3 linked regions of the Kluyveromyces lactis genome follow. The main gene of each other region encodes a partner of the protein of the gene in region 3 in a complex. Links are inferred from orthologs where the notes say so. Each region holds a gene or a part of one and is shown on either strand. Other genes may lie near its edges. The genes, in order: ATP16, KLLA0_F05511g and ATP3.

Region 1 (5,613 bases), on a different chromosome or scaffold from region 3:
ATGACTCGTTTGTGCATGCAGATAATGAGATTAACAATGCATTGAAGGGGAATAGCGGTTGCACTGCAGCCGTCTGCGTGTTGAGATGGGAAATACCTGATACCACAGTGCCCAGTGAGGACGAAACGATAAATTTACAACAACATAAGAGGATGTTATATACAGCGAACGTTGGAGATACAAGAGTGGTACTTTTCAGGAATGGCAACAGTATACGATTGACATATGATCACAAGGCTTCGGATATTCTGGAGCTGCAGCGTGTTGAAAATGCGGGTGGTTTAATAATGAAGAGCAGAGTCAATGGGATGCTGGCTGTTACCAGATCACTTGGTGATAAGTTTTTTGATTCATTGGTAGTGGCAAATCCATTTACGACAAGTGTTGAGATTACAACGAGTGATCAGTTCTTAATTATTGCATGCGATGGGTTGTGGGATGTGATAGAGGACCATGAGGCGTGTGAGATGATAAAAGACATAAATAATCCCAATGAAGCAGCAAGAGTATTAGTAAGATATGCTCTTGAGAATGGAACCACAGATAATGTGACCGTAATGGTAATATTTTTGGATACTTCGCAGGAGAACTGAAGTCAGTTTTCGATGTTAATGCAGTTGTATAAAATTATAGATATATATATATATATATATATATATATATATAAGCATATACATATCTTCCTAGATAATACGTTCTTCTTTGAAGCAGAGCTCTTTTTTAGAAATCAATTGAAAGGAGTTGCGTAGTTCATTGACCAATTACTCCATGCAGAATAGAGCATTAGAAAGCAATAACGGTATTATATTAGACCTACGGTTAATTCATGTCATACCGAGGTATGACAAACATCATATGTTAAAATCTTCCAAATTCAATTCATTATTGTCGTTAGCCGCATTCCAATCAATGCCGAGGTCGTTGAAATCGTTCAACGTTAGATAACTACTTGGATTGCCATTTTCAGGAACGTTTACTGCAGAAGGTGGTGCATTTGTATCATTGAAATTTATTTGAGGATCATTCTTTTTCTCGTTTCCACCAGATGTGTTTTGTAACCCGCCAAAACCTACCTGGTTATCCATTGAGTCAAACATAGAAAGATCCATGCCGTTTAAATCACCAAACTCGGAGTTGAAAGACTGGGCTTGAGTAATTCCAGCAGACGGTAGATCAGTATCAAAGTTTGTTAGCATGTCTATTGGGGTGTTCTTAGCGGAGTATCTCTGCTGCTGTTCATGTTGTTGTTCCTGTGGCTGTTGCTGTTGCTGTTGCTGTTGTTGTTGCTGCTGTTGTTGCTGTTTCTGTTTCAATTGTTTTTGCTCTAATTGCTGCTGTTCTAATTTCTGCTGTTCCAATAACTGTCTCTCTAACTTTTCTTGTTCTTGTTTCTTGATCTGTTCTTCCTCTCTCTGTTTCTTCAACTGCAATGCGCTATCTTTCACTGCCCCAACGTAATCCGCCGTTGTTTGTAATGAAACGTCTAAAGTATCAAGAAGCGAGTAAAACTGCGTTATTCTATCACCTAGTCCTTTCTGCTGAGCCTTTGAAAACCCTGTCGTCACCTTGGGATCTAGTTTAATAGTTTTCAATTGCTGTTGAGTTAACAAATCAGCTGAAAGTCGAAGTATATCATCGAAATATTGCGTCAACTTGTTCTCCTGTCTGTCAGAAACACCAGTCTTAGGTACCATTATGAAACTGACGTGTTTAGGACCGTAAGACGTCTGACCATCCAGGGTTCTGGGAGCAGTCCTGTATCATGTACGATGCGGATAAGTGATTATGATGAATCGTTCATTATACATTTCATTGAATAGTGGTTTAAAGAAAATCATGAGCCAATCAAAACGATGGAAATGGCCATATTCGACAGGGTAACAACATACATTTTATCAATCAGGGACCCCTAGCTTCATACATCATATCTACTACGTGCTACAAAAAGTACTGCAAACAGGTGTCACGTATATACACTCATTTCACGACTACACTAGAGCTAGGTGTCCCTCAACGGTCTTTTCAGCAAAGCCATTGACGTTTCACAGGCTTGAAAACACCTCTTCTCGAGTGCATCAACTTTTTCAGTTTTCAGTTTTCCAAGGCCTCAATTAGGATTTTTGAAAATGAAAAGAATGGGATTTTAGTTTTAATTACAGCTTTACGATATTTGTGAATAAGGTTTTACTAGAACTGTTCTTGTTGGACTACTGTTGTTCCTTCTTAGACTTTTGTATTTTGATCTTTGTTTAGTGTTATTAGATTTTGTTTCAATTGAATTCATTACAGTCTGTTTTAATTGCTTCTTGTCCAGAATCGAAATCATAAGAACACATTACCAGAAAATAATCACCTATAATGTTCCGTTTATCTGCTGCTAGAACTTTGGCCAAATCTGTCAACACCGTTGTTGCTAAGCGTACTTATGCTGAAGCTGCCGATGGTGCTTTGAAGTTGCAATTTGCTTTGCCACATCAAACCTTGTTTTCTGGTACTCCAGTTACCCAAGTCAACTTGCCAGCTAAGTCTGGTCAAATCGGTATCTTGGCTAACCACGTTCCAACTGTTGAACAATTGGTTCCAGGTGTTGTTGAAGTCTTGGAAGGTTCTTCTTCTAAGAAGTTCTTTGTTTCCGGTGGTTTCGCTACTGTCCAACCAGACTCTACCTTGGCTATCACTTCCGTTGAAGCATTCCCATTAGAGTCTTTCTCTCCAGAAAACGTTAGATCTCTGTTGGCTGAAGCTCAAAAGAACGTCTCCTCTGCTGACGAAGTTGCTGCTGCCGAAGCTGCTATCCAACTTGAAGTTTTGGAAGCTTTGCAAGCCGCTTTGAAATAATTGAGATGAACGAAGAATTACAATTGGACCAAGGTATAATACACTTGATACGGATACTCTACTTGGAAGCAATTGTTTTCCCGGTTGATTGTAAACCTGTCTCGGCGTTTGTATTATCCTTCGTCTGCTTTTTTTTCATTATTCTAATTCCTATTATTCCATTGCACAAGCTTACACAACACAACGACGAATACATTTCATGATTTAGCCTAAAGACCCTTTTTTGTTGCTCCGGTCATTGTCCTTTCTTTCCATACAATACTGTAGTGTGAACGTACGAATAAGACTGGGAACTATTGAGAATTAACCTAAAACGACTATTACTAAAATATACAACGAATTAAAACCCAGCGAATTAAAAGAAATCAGAAGAAATAAATACGATAAAACCTAAAAATTCTAAATGATATGGAGGTTGATACAAGTGATGTCTCGATTCCGTTTCAAAAGGGGGTTCTAGTCTTTGTTTTAATGACCAACAAACATAAATCTTTCTTCAATATACTATTCCTTCCTTTCTAACAATATCAAAGAAAACACTGGATCGATTATAATTTGTCTATCCCCGTTAAAAATATTATCAATTAAGAACCGAATTGAAAGACTTAGATTTTATATTTTTTAGCAGAAACGATTTGTGTGTAACTGATGTCTAGTTTTAAGATTCATATTCATATATACCGATTAAACTGACTGCGCATACTGAGAGAGATGATCTGGTTTTGGCATCAACAAGAGTTAGAAAGGCAGGGTAATAAATGGGTATAAGGTCCTCACTTGTTACCCGGATTTTATACCACGAAATCGAAATTTTTCCGGCGGGAAATCTTTTGAGGTCCCAGAAAAAGACATTGTTTTCCCCCAAAAATATTTTCGCGATTTTTCTCCATAACGCGTTTCCGTGATGAGATCTATAACCAGCAATCCTTTAACAAATATCATTGATAAACACTGGATGAGAAGTATGTCTATTCCATCATATTGATTGCACCTTTACCAATAATTTTATCAAATATATATATTACCTATGGAATTTTAATGTCGTGACCTCTGAAAAAAGACACAGTGCTATTTTATTTCATTTTTATTTTGCTAACCATTCCTTATAAGATCAAGTTCTAATCTCGATCTTAAGTTTATATCCATTTGCTATACCATTTGCAACAGGAACCACGAGCCTTATATCACCTAATCCAAAAATAAACAACGTATATGCCACCAAATAGCAATTCACATACTCAGGTGAGATTAAATACAAGCAATGGGCCGTTGGCTCAGATCTGGCTGGCTTCCAATTTGAGTAGCATCAATCGGAACATTGCAAAGACTAATATCGTGGAATCTGTTGAAGAGATTGCCAAAGCTGCAGGTGTTAATCTAGATGATGAATCTGTGGAACCTATCACATTACGTGCTTCCGGTGAGTTACTACATGGTGTTGTAAAAGTTTATTCTCAAAAAGCATCCTATCTGCTTACTGATATCACAGACTTACTGAGTAAAGTGAAATCTATCTTCAAGGGATCGCTGAACAAGAGCGTCACAATTCAGCTAGATACAGTGGCAAAGTTAGATCAGCTTTTATTGCAAGATGCGGTTACAGAACTTGACGTCTTGGAGATGCCCAGTTTGGATTTCTTGAAAGATATCCAAGTGCCAGAAGGTTTTTTGATCGCTGAACGATCAATGGAAAGACAAGTGCAAGGAGCAGCACCTGTAACATCCGCCATTGCAGCACAACAACAAGCATGGGATATGTCCTTAGAAGTTGGAAGGCGATTCCTGGCAGATGAAGATGATGACTTGAATGCTATTGAACATCACGATTCATCTCATTTGAAATTAGATTTTGACCTTGGTGATTCTAATCAAAGCAATAACACTAAATCATGGGGTGAAGGGACTCGTGTTACTGCTAGTGAAGTAAACGCGGATGATGGAGAAAATGAAGGTGATTTGACTATTAGAAATGACAATGACGATGATGATGAATTGCTACCACTTAACGATGATTGGGATTTGGGATTAAACGATGATGATCAGAATATTTCTGGTAATCAGTCTAGCCATGGTAGCGACATGTCTGTAGAGATCGGGAGAAGGGCTGATATTACTCACTCATTGCATGATGATACACTCTTAGACTTTGATCTAGGGCTGCCAAAGGACACAGAACCAGAGCATCAAGAGCAAGCAGAGGCATACATACCACCTAGAGCAGTAAAGAAGAGGGCACCAAGGAATAAAGCCTTTATCAATGTTAAGAAGGTTCTCATAGATGCTGATGCCGAATTAAACGATTCTGAAGTGAAAGGAGGACCATCGGACTCAATTCTTATCGTTTCTGATGAGACTTCGTCCGCTATATCAAAGAAAAAAAGAGCCATCGATGAATTATACTCTGACCTGGACTTCCTTCCTCAAAAGATTATATCTAATTTCTTCAACCATAAAGCTTCAAAGAAGCCTAGAGCTCTGTCACAATCCAGCCAATCTGATGGGTCCGATGTTGATATAGATATCTCTTTGGGTATCGATGGAAGTTTGGTACACAATTCTGATCCATTCGATCACCAACAAATGGGCTTTGATGCAGAATCAGAAGGACCAGTGTTTGCTGATGATGAACCTCCAGTTCTTGCAGCTGATACATCCATGGAAGAAAATGATTACCAAGCCATTCAATCAGACGAATTTGCCTCTCGTGGGTCAATTGAAAAGGAAAAAAGTCAAAAAGTAGAGCTTGCTACCGGTGAAATCGTGTCTAAATCTACA
Region 2 (5,657 bases), on a different chromosome or scaffold from region 3:
CAAAGTTCAGCAGGAAGGTTAGACCTTACTATTAGGATATATGTAGTATTAAGTTCTCTCACTTTCACTTACGAACAAATGCAATAGTCCCAAACTTCCGTAAGTATTCACTCATCGCAAGGATAAAACCGTTCATGTACGTCCAAGTTTTATGTATATCAATATCTTGTTTTTTTTCCAATTCTAATGTAACAGAAATAAAGAAATTCTTGGAAGAAAATTCTCGTTGCCCAGCAGCAGTGCTTTCTGCTTGAGCCTCAAAAAGAAATAAGACCGATTAGCACCATAGCAAAGCCAAGGATGGGCACGTTTAAGGGATACGGACGCATAGTTCAATTACAGGCTAACGAACTGAATACGTGACCTAGAAACCTATATTATCTTCACTAGTTTACGGGTGATTCTTATCATTTTTCTTTTTGTTCAGATGTCAATTCGGCAGACGTATATTTAACAATGGAAGAAAGCTTAACATAGAGTTCTACACAGTAAAGTTCGCACAGGGTCCAATTCGAAAGAAGGGGATTTCTGTACAGATGTAGGTACACAGGCATATCTCATATATATTATAACGCAAAAAATATTAAGGAATCAAAAACACTCCACAAAGTCTGATATGGTCCATTCCAAACAGATGATATATATCTAGAAGAAATACGAATACAAATTATATATACACATGAAATGACATATCCAAAAAACTGTACCAATTCCGAGAAAATCGATATTCGATGTATCGACAGATAGTAGATGAGATACCAAAATATGCTCTGTTTATTAGTGTAGTATGTCCCAACTGCCAGTATTTTTGCCAATGTGTTTCTAATATTTCTTCATGATGACGATACCTGTGGTAAGTAATAGATTAATATGACGCTAAAAGGAAATTCGAGGGAGGGAGGAATGCTCCTTGAGAAAATGTGTTGAATTGTTTTATTTGTTTTTTATATTTTGACGTTTAATCGAACAAACCGAAACCCATGTCATCGTCAGATTCTTCCTTTTCAGATTCTGGAGCTTCTTCAGCAGCAGCTTCAGAGTCACCAGAAGCAGCACCGGCACCAGCAGCTGGAGCAGCTGGACCAGCGGCGTGGAAACCGGACAAGATTTCCTTGATGTCCTTACCTTCCAAAGCCTTAGCGAAGGTTTCAGCCCACACGTTGTCGATAGAGGCACCGGCAGCCTTGGTCAAAGTCAACAAGTTGTCGGCAGTGACATCCAAACCGGCATCAGCCAAGATCAAAGAGGCGTAAGAAATAACAGCGTCAGACATTGCTAGTTAGGTATGATGTGTATATGTGGATCTATAGCAAAATCGCAACAACAAGCAATTGAACCTCAACAAACAACCTAACTACAACTTATCAATAAATACGTGTTGTATAATTAAACGTTCAATATCTTATTGAAATCTAGCTAGTTTTCCAGTGAAAAATATTATTCGGTGAAAATTCAGAAAATCTGGAAAACTGAACAAGATTTGAAGTTTTGTTGATCCAAAAACGACAACAAGGGAGGGTAAGTTTACACAGAAGAAGATGTACAAGACAACGCCATAGATGTAAGAGACACTAAAACACTTAAAACAGGAACAGCTACGTGTTGCCAATCGTCAGAATATCCCATAGCACGGGTTTCAACTACCACCGGCCCCAAAAAGTGTTGTCAAGCTCGGTAGAAATACAATATAATTTATGCGTATCTCAGGGCAGAACTGTCAATATGGGTGTAGTGTATGGGTGTTAAGTGGGATTTATTTCCATTAATGGAAAAAACAGAATATATTATAATGAGAAATTTAAAGTGAGATGACTGGGTTTTACACACAATCATGACAGCACCATATGAACAGTCCCGAGCTACATATTATAACATGCAAAAGTGATAATAAAAAAAGGATAATTTTTTCTCCGATACCGGGAGTCGAACCCGGGTCTCCACGGTGAGAGCGTGGTGTGATAGCCGTTACACTATATCGGATTACTAATTTTAGATATCTCAATAGGACTGAACTCACTTCCCCACGAAAGGGTAACTTCTACTAAGTTACTGTAAATAATATCTTTCCTTCAATTCAGTGTTTCCCTTGGATCACTGTGAAGCAACCTACGAAAGGTTAGGACTGACTGTTCATTCCATTGTGTAATCCTGAGTGAAATTGATTTCTAATTATAGTATAATGAATGTTAATATATTAAAATTGAATTACATGATTATAGTTTTGTTTTTAATCTCATTTTCAATATTACCAAAAACTTTACGTGTGGTGTCAGCGCATACGCGAGCCAATACGCATATACTCAACGCTTCCATAAGAAAGAACTGTAAAACGGCGAAGATGAACAAGTAAACACTTCTTCCTTGAGCGCTTACCAACGGGCGTTTTTAAGCTGACATGATAGATAAAAAAAAAATCTGTATCCATTTTCTTGGTTTTCATAATTTCGTCAATAATAAAATTCTCAATTTGACTGCGTAGAAAAAAACATTAACTACGATTGGGTTGATCTCATTAATCAACAGACAGCTTAGTTGATCGAATTGTAGAATATTTTAAAGGTTTTTTTCTTTGAAAAAGGGCGTTTAATGAATTGGGTTTGGATTTTGTATGGAGTATAATGACAAATAACAAAAAAAAATAAAGGTAATAATAAGAATTAGATCCGACAGAGACAACGCAGCTTAGCGATTAACTCCATATTTTGAAACAAACGTCAGTTTTATTGTTTGAAGAATCAGCTGGTCATTTCTAAAGGCTTTTTATCGAACAAAAAGGGCTCCTTATTTGGTAATGTTGTCCAATTTCTCTTCCAAGTTATCGATTTTCTTTTGTTGTTGCTTCAATTGTTCTCTCAATTGAGCCAATTGTTCCTTTTCGTGTTGCTTGACATAGAAATCTTCTTGTGCCTTTTCTCTCTTAGTGAAAGCATCAGAAGAGCCATCTGATCTGGTAGAACCGACAGAACCTTCAGAAGAAGAGTACATTCTGAGAGCAGCTGGTTGAACCTTGGAGGCACGGGTCAAAATGGAACGGGTGGAACGAGATAGCATTGTTTGTTATGGTTTTGTGTATTCTTTGTTAAAACTTTTTATCTAGTCTAACTGTAACTGACGCAAATTATGTGATCAATCCTTCAGTTCCGGGCCCACTTCGTTAAGACATGTGTGTTTCAAGGGGAACTAGGTTCTTCTTTTCCTTTTATATTTTTTCCCATTTTTTTGGTGAAACTTTTTGACAAAAAAAAATGTGTGTGAAAAAGAGAACACTAAAGAACCTGATTGGTTAGGGAGGCTTGAATTTAGTGATGGAAGAATGGCGTTATATATGATGAAAGTAGTGACATAGTGTCAAGTCTCCTTCCGGACCCTTAATAATGTCTTGTCGGTTGCGGTGGATTCGGGCTCCCATTTAGTTACTGTTAGTATTTATTAGTGTCTCATGTCAGAACTGGGGTCTTTCTTTTTGAACGGAATATGTCCTGCTTCCCGGCTTATTCCATCTGTTTTTACTCCAGAGAAAATACATCAAAAGAAATGAGAGTAAGCATATATACCAGCCGTCTGTTATCTGCACAAGTTTTTATTTCTTGCGGCCTGTGTTTGAGCGCCTTTTATTGTGCGTGTCAGATTGAGTTACTATAATAAATTACTAAGATACTTAATATATGGATGAGAGAAATGTAGTTTGACATAAACGTGAATAAAAGCAAGGTACTTGGTGGAACGAGGCAAAAAGAAGAAGTTACACTTGTCTTATGAGCTTTCTAGTACTTTTATGTTTATTTCCTTTCTTAAGGTTTACTCTACCTTGGTTTTCTTGTTGGATGGCTCTTGGATATCAATGTCATTGACGTCGTTGTCATCTCTTCTTACAGCTCTCAATTGCGGCGTAGATACTTCAGCATGGAAGTCCTTGATGATGGAGTCGACATCATCGATATTTAGGGGTCTGATGTCACCAAGCTTCTTAATCTTAGCGGTAACTTCTTTGACTTGATCATCTGTCAAGTTCAAGTTTAATTGATCAACACGTGACTTGATAGCGTTCCAACCGGTAAGCCTGTTAGCGAAATGGATGTATCTCTTCATACCGAAATCGTGAGGGTCCAAGATTTCGTATGTAGATGGGTTAGCCAAGATGGCCTTAGCATGAATACCAGCTTTATGTGTGAAGGCACAGAATCCTGTAATTGGGTTGTTGAATGGGATATTTACCTCCACGGCTTCAGCAATCAAGTTTTCGATATCTCTGATCTTATGCAATTTGTACTTAGATTTGGTGTACTCTGGAGCTGCAACAATCATTCTAGCCATTAGCCCACCTAGAGGAGTGATACCATTTCTCTCACCGATACCTAATACAGCGACATCGATAAGTCTTGCACCACCTTCTAATGCTGTGTAAGCGTTTGCAATAGCACAACCGGTGTCGTTGTGGAAATGGCATTCGATATCACATGAAACCACACTCTTCAATGTTCTGACCAATTCGTAAACTTGTCTTGGATTAGCACATCCGACGGTATCAGCAATACCAACTCTGTTAACACCAATCTTATCGACAGTCTTGTAAATGTTTAGCAAATCGACCAAATCCGATCTGAAAGAATCCTCAGAAGAGAATCTGATTTCAATACCCTTGGATTTGACAAATTCAATGACTTCAATAGCAGACTTGGCAATGTAATTCATGTCCTTACCGTGAGAATATTGTCTCAAAAACTTGGAAGTACCGATAACAACATCAACACCATCAACACCAGTTTCTACTGCCACTCTAGCATCGTCCATGTGACAACGGATATGGGTCAAAATCTTTGCCTTCAATCCAAGCTTGCAAATGGCTTCACAATCTCTTCTAGATTGTTCAGATGCGACAGGAGAAGTAAGTTCAATATAATCAACACCAAAGTCATCTAGGGCCTTGGCAATCTCGATCTTCTTTTCAGTATCGAAAAAGGCGTTGGCAAATTGTTCACCTTCTCTTAATGTAGAATCGATCAACTGATAGTTGTTAACATTTGATAAATAATCAGCTGGGTTTGGACCGTATGGATTTTGTTGAAATTTTGTCACACTTGATGCAGATTCAGTCACTGGTTGGAAATCCTGATTGCTACTCATGATTTGTTATTGTCTATCGCTAGTTTATCTACTTTTTTTGCTCTTCAAATGGAAATATTCTCCTATTCTGCCTTATAATACTCTAAGAGAAATGAAATGAATGTAATCCAAATATATATATATATAGTATAATATATAGCTCCAATAAAAAATAATATCACAAAAATATTATTAAGTTGTAACAAGAATCGATCACACAAACAAAACAGTCGAACCTGAGAGCATATAAACTAGACAAAGAAACACCTGCCATCAAATGTAGAGCAGTTCCTTTTTTTTTTTTCAGACTCATTCATGTCATCGAAACTGCCTTGATATGGCTTGACTCATCTGAAATCTGAATTTTTTCTTTCCCATAATTGAAATATGGTCAATGAAAAGAAATATGGTAAAATTCCCACTCAATTTCGAGCTAAAGTCTAATCATGACCAATTTTCGTGAATATTCCTGTGGATTTTAAATCCGATGAACGTAGATTTTTGCAGCAGGTATTGACAAACACCTTCCGAATGATGCTAAGGTAGTCACTGAG
Region 3 (6,175 bases):
ATTCGAGGTTTGAATGCAATGAATTAAAGGTTGACCTAAAATATTATAATTTAAGAATGCAGGAGTGGCACCAAGGTTCCATAACGCAAACCATAGGAATATAAACAGTGGTTTGTTTGTAAAATTCAATGCCACAAAATCTCCAGGTTTCACCTGATGTACATTAAATAAATAATGCGACAACCTTAAAACGATATTGTAAGTTTCCAGGTAAGTAAATTGTTGCAACTCGAAATCGCCTTTTACAGATAGAGGCTTGGGGTAGCTAATTGCCAAACCTTGAGGAGCCTTCCTTACCTGAGCTTCAAATACGTACCAATATTGGAATCTATTGCTGTACACTGACCAAACATACTTGAAAACGCTCGTAATAAAATATGTGACAATGTGATAATCATCTCTCCATCGGTAGTTTGGATCCAAACGATTCATTATCCCTGCTGGGAACAGCTTCCGTAGTAGAGACGTAACCAGTTTGCATGGGATTAAAATAAACCGTACTATTGTTCGGAATATTAAGAAAAGCAGCTGAGTACTGGCGAAATTGTTGTGATCTGACATTGTCTTCGCTAGTAAAAGCGTGCTAACGACGGTTGAACAGTTCAGTCTATAAAACCTTTACTCAAACGGTAACAATTGCTTCTAAGATTGGTTTGGATACTGTTAAATTGCTTCCCTTTTTTATCCAGTTAGTTTTGTAGATATATGAATTCGAACTTATGAGAATTTATAGAAACTTGGAAATTCATTCAACATACATTTAAATAAAGATATAAAGAAACTGCAAACTTATAATAACGTTGGGACCAGAAACACATCTTTAAAATACGATATAATCATTCGCAAAGTGCATATAATATTAGGAAGTGCAATGGCTGCGTTGGCTTCTATCATACACTGCTTAAAGTTGTATCTGATGCGTATTTATTCGAGAACGGGTTTTTGGTTGACTTAACGTCATCCAGCTTCTCGTCGAGCTTCTTTCTATCTCTAAAGTATACCATCCACATTATCAAGCAGTCTATGAGCATGAATGTAAATGCAGTCCATGACAGAGCCTGTGATTTACTTCCTTTTTCTGCTGTCATTATATTCATCGATGCTCTTGGAATTAGGGATACATTGCAATTTATGGCAACGTGAGTCCATATGGCACCAATAGCCCATAACAAGGTGATCAATGCAGATAAACCCATGATAATAAACTGCACGTAATTTTTAAATGGCAATTTAGGTATGATTGCATATACTGTGATTCCAAACAACAAAATTGTGAAAATGGTAACAACCATCAATAAATAAGGATGCACCAGTTCGTCAGAATTTTGGTGAGCTAACTCCAATATATTTAAATTACTGGACTCTGATTCTTCTGTGGAGTTGGAATTCTTGAAACTGAAAATCTTAATCGTCAAATCGTCAAATATGTCCATGTCATCTACCTTCTTCCTGTTGAAACAAACCTTAGACGATTTGCTCGAGGAGTTTCTGTCATAATTCGATGGGATGTTATTGATACATATCCCCATATACCCTGAAAATATTTGAACGTTTTCTAATCCATCAGTATATTCCTGTGAACTGAACTGATTTGAAATGACTGGATATAGGGGAGATTTATCGTTGAATTGATATTTCACCAAATACGTTGAACTCTGATCGACGTTGTAACAACCCACTAATAAAAATACCAATAAAAATACTGAAATAAAAGAAGTAATTAACACCAGCACCCTAGGAATACGTTTTCCTAGCTTATAGAATAAGGTGAATGGTAGAAACATAATGATTTTGTATTTATCAGTGTTTTGTTGAAGGATGCTAAGTTACACCTAACTGTACTAGAAAGTAAATTGAAACTAAAAGCTCATTGAAAGTTTGCAATATGAATGCATCTGGTTATATACGTTTAATGAACTGAAATAATACTGCATCATATCTGATAATCTTGTTCCAGTATTCAAGTGTTTCAGTGTTTTTTAACAGTGATACAGATATGAAACAGACCTGAATCGACTATGAATGACAGAAGACATGCGCCAATGCAACCTCATAATACATAGGAGAGGCGAAGGGGGATTCGCATTGAATATATCTGTTTTAAAAGAGTCATACAAATATGGTACATACGTAGTGATAATGGCAGTATACAGTAGAAATCTGAGGCCAGACGAGAGTGTTGTTGAATGAAATGCGAAAGTCCGAATATGTAAACTTGACACTCGATCGAACAATTGCCTTCATTGGAAGTGGCTCAAAACAATATGTGCGATATGAGTAGAACCTTGAAAGAGGCCAATATTAGTTTCTTATAATAATTCTTTATCGCCATTTGGAAATGTAAAGGCGTAAACGTCTTCATAGCCCTCTGAGAGAGATATTTAGTGAAATAAATCTCAAAGTAGTTTTTTTAATTGTTGTTAAGTTCTTCAATTCATAATCATAAAATATAGAAATGATGTCTTAGAATGATAATTTAAGGAAACCCAATGATAGTTTAACATTATAATACCAAATAATATATCATTTTCATTGATAGAGGTGGAAAATAGGTGTAAGTTTAGAAAAAAAAAGAGGCAGAAAGGGTGATAAGGAACTGCGATTGTAGAGGGGATGAGGATGCTCTTTCCTCTTCAGTATGAAGGTTCCTGTTTAACTCTTTCCAGCTAATTTAGTGATAAATTAAAAGTATTCTTTTCTTCATATTACGTTTAATCCAAAGAAGAAGCACCAGTAATAATATCAACCAACTCGTTGGTGATAACGGCTTGTCTGGTTCTGTTGTATAAGATGGAGTAACTGTTAATCATGTCACCGGCGTTCTTGGAAGCGTTATCCATAGCGTTTCTTCTAGCAGAGACTTCAGCAGCATAACCTTCAGCCATGGCAGCCAAGATTTCGTTGGATAAAGTGAATTCGAACAAATCTTGAGAAACGTTGTTGTCAGCATCGATTTCGAACTTGGAGAAAGAAGGAGATTGTTCAATGGCAGCAGCGTTGAAGACTGGCTTGTTAGAAGGTTCGAAGGACAAAGAAGAGATAGGGTCGTTCCAGAAGATCGAAACCTTCTTGTAATTGGAAGCACCACCTTCCAAGATCTTGTTAGCAATCAAAGAAGTTTCTTCAAAAGTTGGAGCTTCCTTACCAACACCATTGAAAGCGAACTTGAGGTTGTCAGAGTTGGTTCTTAGCAATTGACCCTTAACCTTGTCACCGATGGCAACAACATCAGCGTTTGGAGTTTGCTTCAATTGAAGTCTAACAGCCTTGGCCAATTGAGAGTGAATAGAACCACACAAACCTTTATCAGAAGTGATGGCAATGATCAAATCTTTCTTTTCAGCATCTTCCAATGGAACAGTTTCTGCGTTCTTGTAGAAAGCAGCATCGGCCAAGGCATACTCCTTAGCACTGTTCTTAGCTCTTTCAGCCTTGGACAATCTGGTAGAAGCAACGATCTTCATGGTCTTGGTGATCTTTTCGATGTTCTTGATAGACTTCAATCTGGTTTCGATTTCTCTCAAGGTTGCATAGTTTCTGGAAGTACCACGTACAACGGATGCAGTGTTTCTCACAAACATTGTTATTCGAATGTATATTTCTTACGTTGGGCTTGCGGGGTTGAACAAAGAGAACAGTTGAAAAGGTAGACTGGTCAACTCAATGCAAATACAATTCAAGTATTCACCGTGTGGAACGTTAATCAAATTATTCAAAATACACACTTGTAATAGTAAAAGAGTTAAAAAACCTCGAAATCGATATGTTTGAAAATTATTTCGAAGATTGGGAATTTCACACCGGGTCGTGAAATTCGAGGTATAAAGGGAGAAAGACGGGGGGCAGAAGCCAGGAGAGAATAGGGTGGGATAGTATAGGTTATTTGTAGCTAGTCTTGAGTAGAATGCTGCGGTTATGGAGTGAGAGAGTCAGCTTATATGGCCAGATATATACTCTAATTGAAGGGGCTCTGTGTATCTTTGAAGATGGAACGCCATTATATGGATCATCATATACGAGTCCAGCAATAAATTTTTGATTTCTGTGAGAATATAGCGGTCTTACCCGGACTTGTTATGTATTCCATGGTATCATTGGCGGAAAGTCACGTGATGTAACGACAGCTAGGGTCAAAAAAATAAAAATTCTCCGCGACGGGGAATTGAACCCCGATCTCGCACGCGACAAGCGCGAATTCTAACCATTAAACTATCGCGGATGTGGTAAAATCCAAAGAAAGCACTCACGGTGGGGGTCGAACCCACAATCTTCTGATTAGAAGTCAGACGCGTTGCCATTACGCCACGCGAGCATATTAATTTGGATGTTTGAAAAAAACATAATTTGATGGTGCATGCAAGGATGCTCACCACATGCTTCCGTTTCCCTTATTATTACAACTCAAAAAGGCATGCCAGGCAGGGGGAAAAAAAAGGAAATTTTGATGGTTATAATAAGGCACAATCTTCAATTTAAAACCATTACACACATGGGTTCAGATCCCCCACATGCAAAGACTGCTCCTCCCCTCTTTTCACCTTGACGCAAACCTTTTATTTATTCTCTCTCATCTCTATATTCTGTCTACATAAAATGAATTTAAACTACCGTTACTGAAAAAGGAAGAGTGTAGCGTGCAGGTGCTGCTGGACGTTATGTCATATCTTGACATTCGCATGTCAGAAATTAGGGCCACCTGCAGTTGAAACATCATTTAGAAATAGTGAACATCAGACATTTAGTATCTGTTCAATTTCTATCTCGATATCTATTCCATGTTCAATTTAATCAGTATTCAGTCTTTCGTTATAATTTTTTTTTTTAAAGCTTCTTGATCTAATATATCAATAAAGAAAAACAATCTTTCAATTCATCTTAATAGATATATCCTCAATCTGGCCCAATTATCGGTTCGCGCTGTTTGCCAGGTGAGCCAAAGAAAGCCAGTACTGTATTCATATTATTCTGTGATTTCATTCTCATCTGCGCTTCTCTTATCTCTTGTAACAGGACTCTTTTTTTTGTTATTATTTTGGTTTTCCAATCCTTTGTTACAGGCTGTTTTATAAACACATGGAGCAAGAGGTTAATGGCCTGCAGCAGCAGCAACAGCAACAGCAACAGATGCAAGTACAACGGCATGGCTCTAATGAAAATGCCGCACAACAGACCACTCTGGTTGCGGCTCACTTGCAGGATTTAAGTATGGACGATAGTTGTAACAAACAACGGCATCCTTCACCCCAAATTAGTGGTCAGAACCAGCAGCTGCAACAGCAGCAGTCTAGTAGGAACAGGAAGAGTTCTGTAATTCATGGTAGAAAAGCAGCTAATTACTTGAGAGTGTTCGATGATAAAGACTCAGATGTCTCGATTCCTGATCAAAGCCTAAGGAAGTATTCTGGTGGTGGCTTAGGCTCCAAATCTAATTCAAACTCAAATGAGACAGAGATCGCGCATGGTCCTAAATCGTTTATGAAGGTCAGCGTAGACCAACGACCTGTTTTGAAAAATACTAAGTCGACAGATTTGACAGATTTACATGAGCTGGAAGATGTGGATGCGACAGAAGGTGTTGCATTAGAACCAAAAACTTCCGCGTCCGCTATCTACTTAACAGATGAAGATCGTCACATTTTATCCAGTTATAAAGATATCTCTATAATTGATGAGAAAGATAAGACAAGTGTCAATCTCTTTGGCCCGGATGTAGTGGTGCCCCCTATTCATATCGGTGCTGCGAGAAATCACAAGGATGAAGAATATCCAAGGAAGTTAACTAATACAGCTTTAGAACAACAACGGCACGATGAACCGCTGAGAATTGAAAATAAGATACCAAGTTTCAATTCTAAGACAATTCCTGATGAAAGTGCTATCGCTGACGATGATGATGACGACGATGTTGAAGAACACGGTGATTTCCCCTTGGCGGTGGAATTGAAACCTTTCACGAACAAAGTTGGAGGGCACACTGCTATCTTTAAATTCAGTGAAAGAGCCGTCTGCAAAGCTTTGGTTAATACAGAAAATAACTGGTACGAAACCATAGAAAAGGAGCATCAAGAACTTCTTCAATTCATGCCAAGATACATCGGTGTATTGAACGTCAGACAGCATTTCCACACGAAGGAAGATTTCTTAGAAGAAATAGTTAACAATACAACCAAGTTCA

The links.
Region 1: the proteins of ATP3 (region 3) and ATP16 are in contact, whole or in part, in a crystal structure (PDB 3FKS), measured with the Saccharomyces cerevisiae proteins. The link is inferred for Kluyveromyces lactis from reciprocal best matches to the Saccharomyces cerevisiae genes ATP3 and ATP16. Residues at the interface, in NP_009595.1 of Saccharomyces cerevisiae: Ala70, Ser73, Ala74, Lys76, Met77, Glu79, Ala80, Glu81, Leu83, Phe84, Asn87, Phe173, Lys229, Phe230, Glu231, Ile232, Ala236, Asn237, Val238, Asp241, Leu242, Tyr245, Leu252; in NP_010280.1 of Saccharomyces cerevisiae: Gln35, Ala37, Leu38, Pro39, His40, Glu41, Thr42, Ser45, Lys57, Val68, Pro69, Thr70, Val71, Gln73, Gly94, Gly95, Phe96, Thr98, Val99, Gln100, Pro101, Asp102, Gln104, Cys106, Thr108, Ala109, Ile110.
Region 2: the proteins of ATP3 (region 3) and KLLA0_F05511g are in contact, whole or in part, in a crystal structure (PDB 3ZIA), measured with the Saccharomyces cerevisiae proteins. The link is inferred for Kluyveromyces lactis from reciprocal best matches to the Saccharomyces cerevisiae genes ATP3 and INH1. Residues at the interface, in NP_009595.1 of Saccharomyces cerevisiae: Met41, Arg42, Lys44, Ser45, Asn48, Ile49; in NP_010100.1 of Saccharomyces cerevisiae: Ser23, Ser26, Thr27, Arg31, Asp37, Phe39.

What each region holds. Positions count from the first base shown.
Region 1 is NC_006042.1:1,364,144-1,369,756, forward strand, and holds ATP16 (F1F0 ATP synthase subunit delta), read left to right. Parts: upstream 1-2,358; coding exon 2,359-2,838; downstream 2,839-5,613. Other genes in the region: type 2C protein phosphatase PTC1, read left to right, coding at 1-593; MED2 (Med2p), read right to left, coding at 852-1,694; MCD1 (kleisin alpha), read left to right, coding at 4,051-5,613. UniProt on the Saccharomyces cerevisiae protein: Mitochondrial membrane ATP synthase (F(1)F(0) ATP synthase or Complex V) produces ATP from ADP in the presence of a proton gradient across the membrane which is generated by electron transport complexes of the respiratory chain.
Region 2 is NC_006042.1:540,613-546,269, reverse strand, and holds KLLA0_F05511g (ATPase-binding protein), read right to left. Parts: upstream 3,052-5,657; coding exon 2,782-3,051; downstream 1-2,781. Other genes in the region: RPP1B (ribosomal protein P1 beta), read right to left, coding at 959-1,273; homocitrate synthase LYS21, read right to left, coding at 3,799-5,124. UniProt on the Saccharomyces cerevisiae protein: Endogenous ATPase inhibitor, which inhibits specifically the reverse ATPase reaction of mitochondrial F(1)F(0)-type ATP synthase.
Region 3 is NC_006038.1:601,621-607,795, forward strand, and holds ATP3 (F1F0 ATP synthase subunit gamma), read right to left. Parts: upstream 3,582-6,175; coding exon 2,712-3,581; downstream 1-2,711. Other genes in the region: long-chain fatty acid transporter FAT1, read right to left, coding at 1-561; FIG1 (Fig1p), read right to left, coding at 891-1,784; inositol polyphosphate kinase KCS1, read left to right, coding at 5,074-6,175. UniProt on the Saccharomyces cerevisiae protein: Mitochondrial membrane ATP synthase (F(1)F(0) ATP synthase or Complex V) produces ATP from ADP in the presence of a proton gradient across the membrane which is generated by electron transport complexes of the respiratory chain.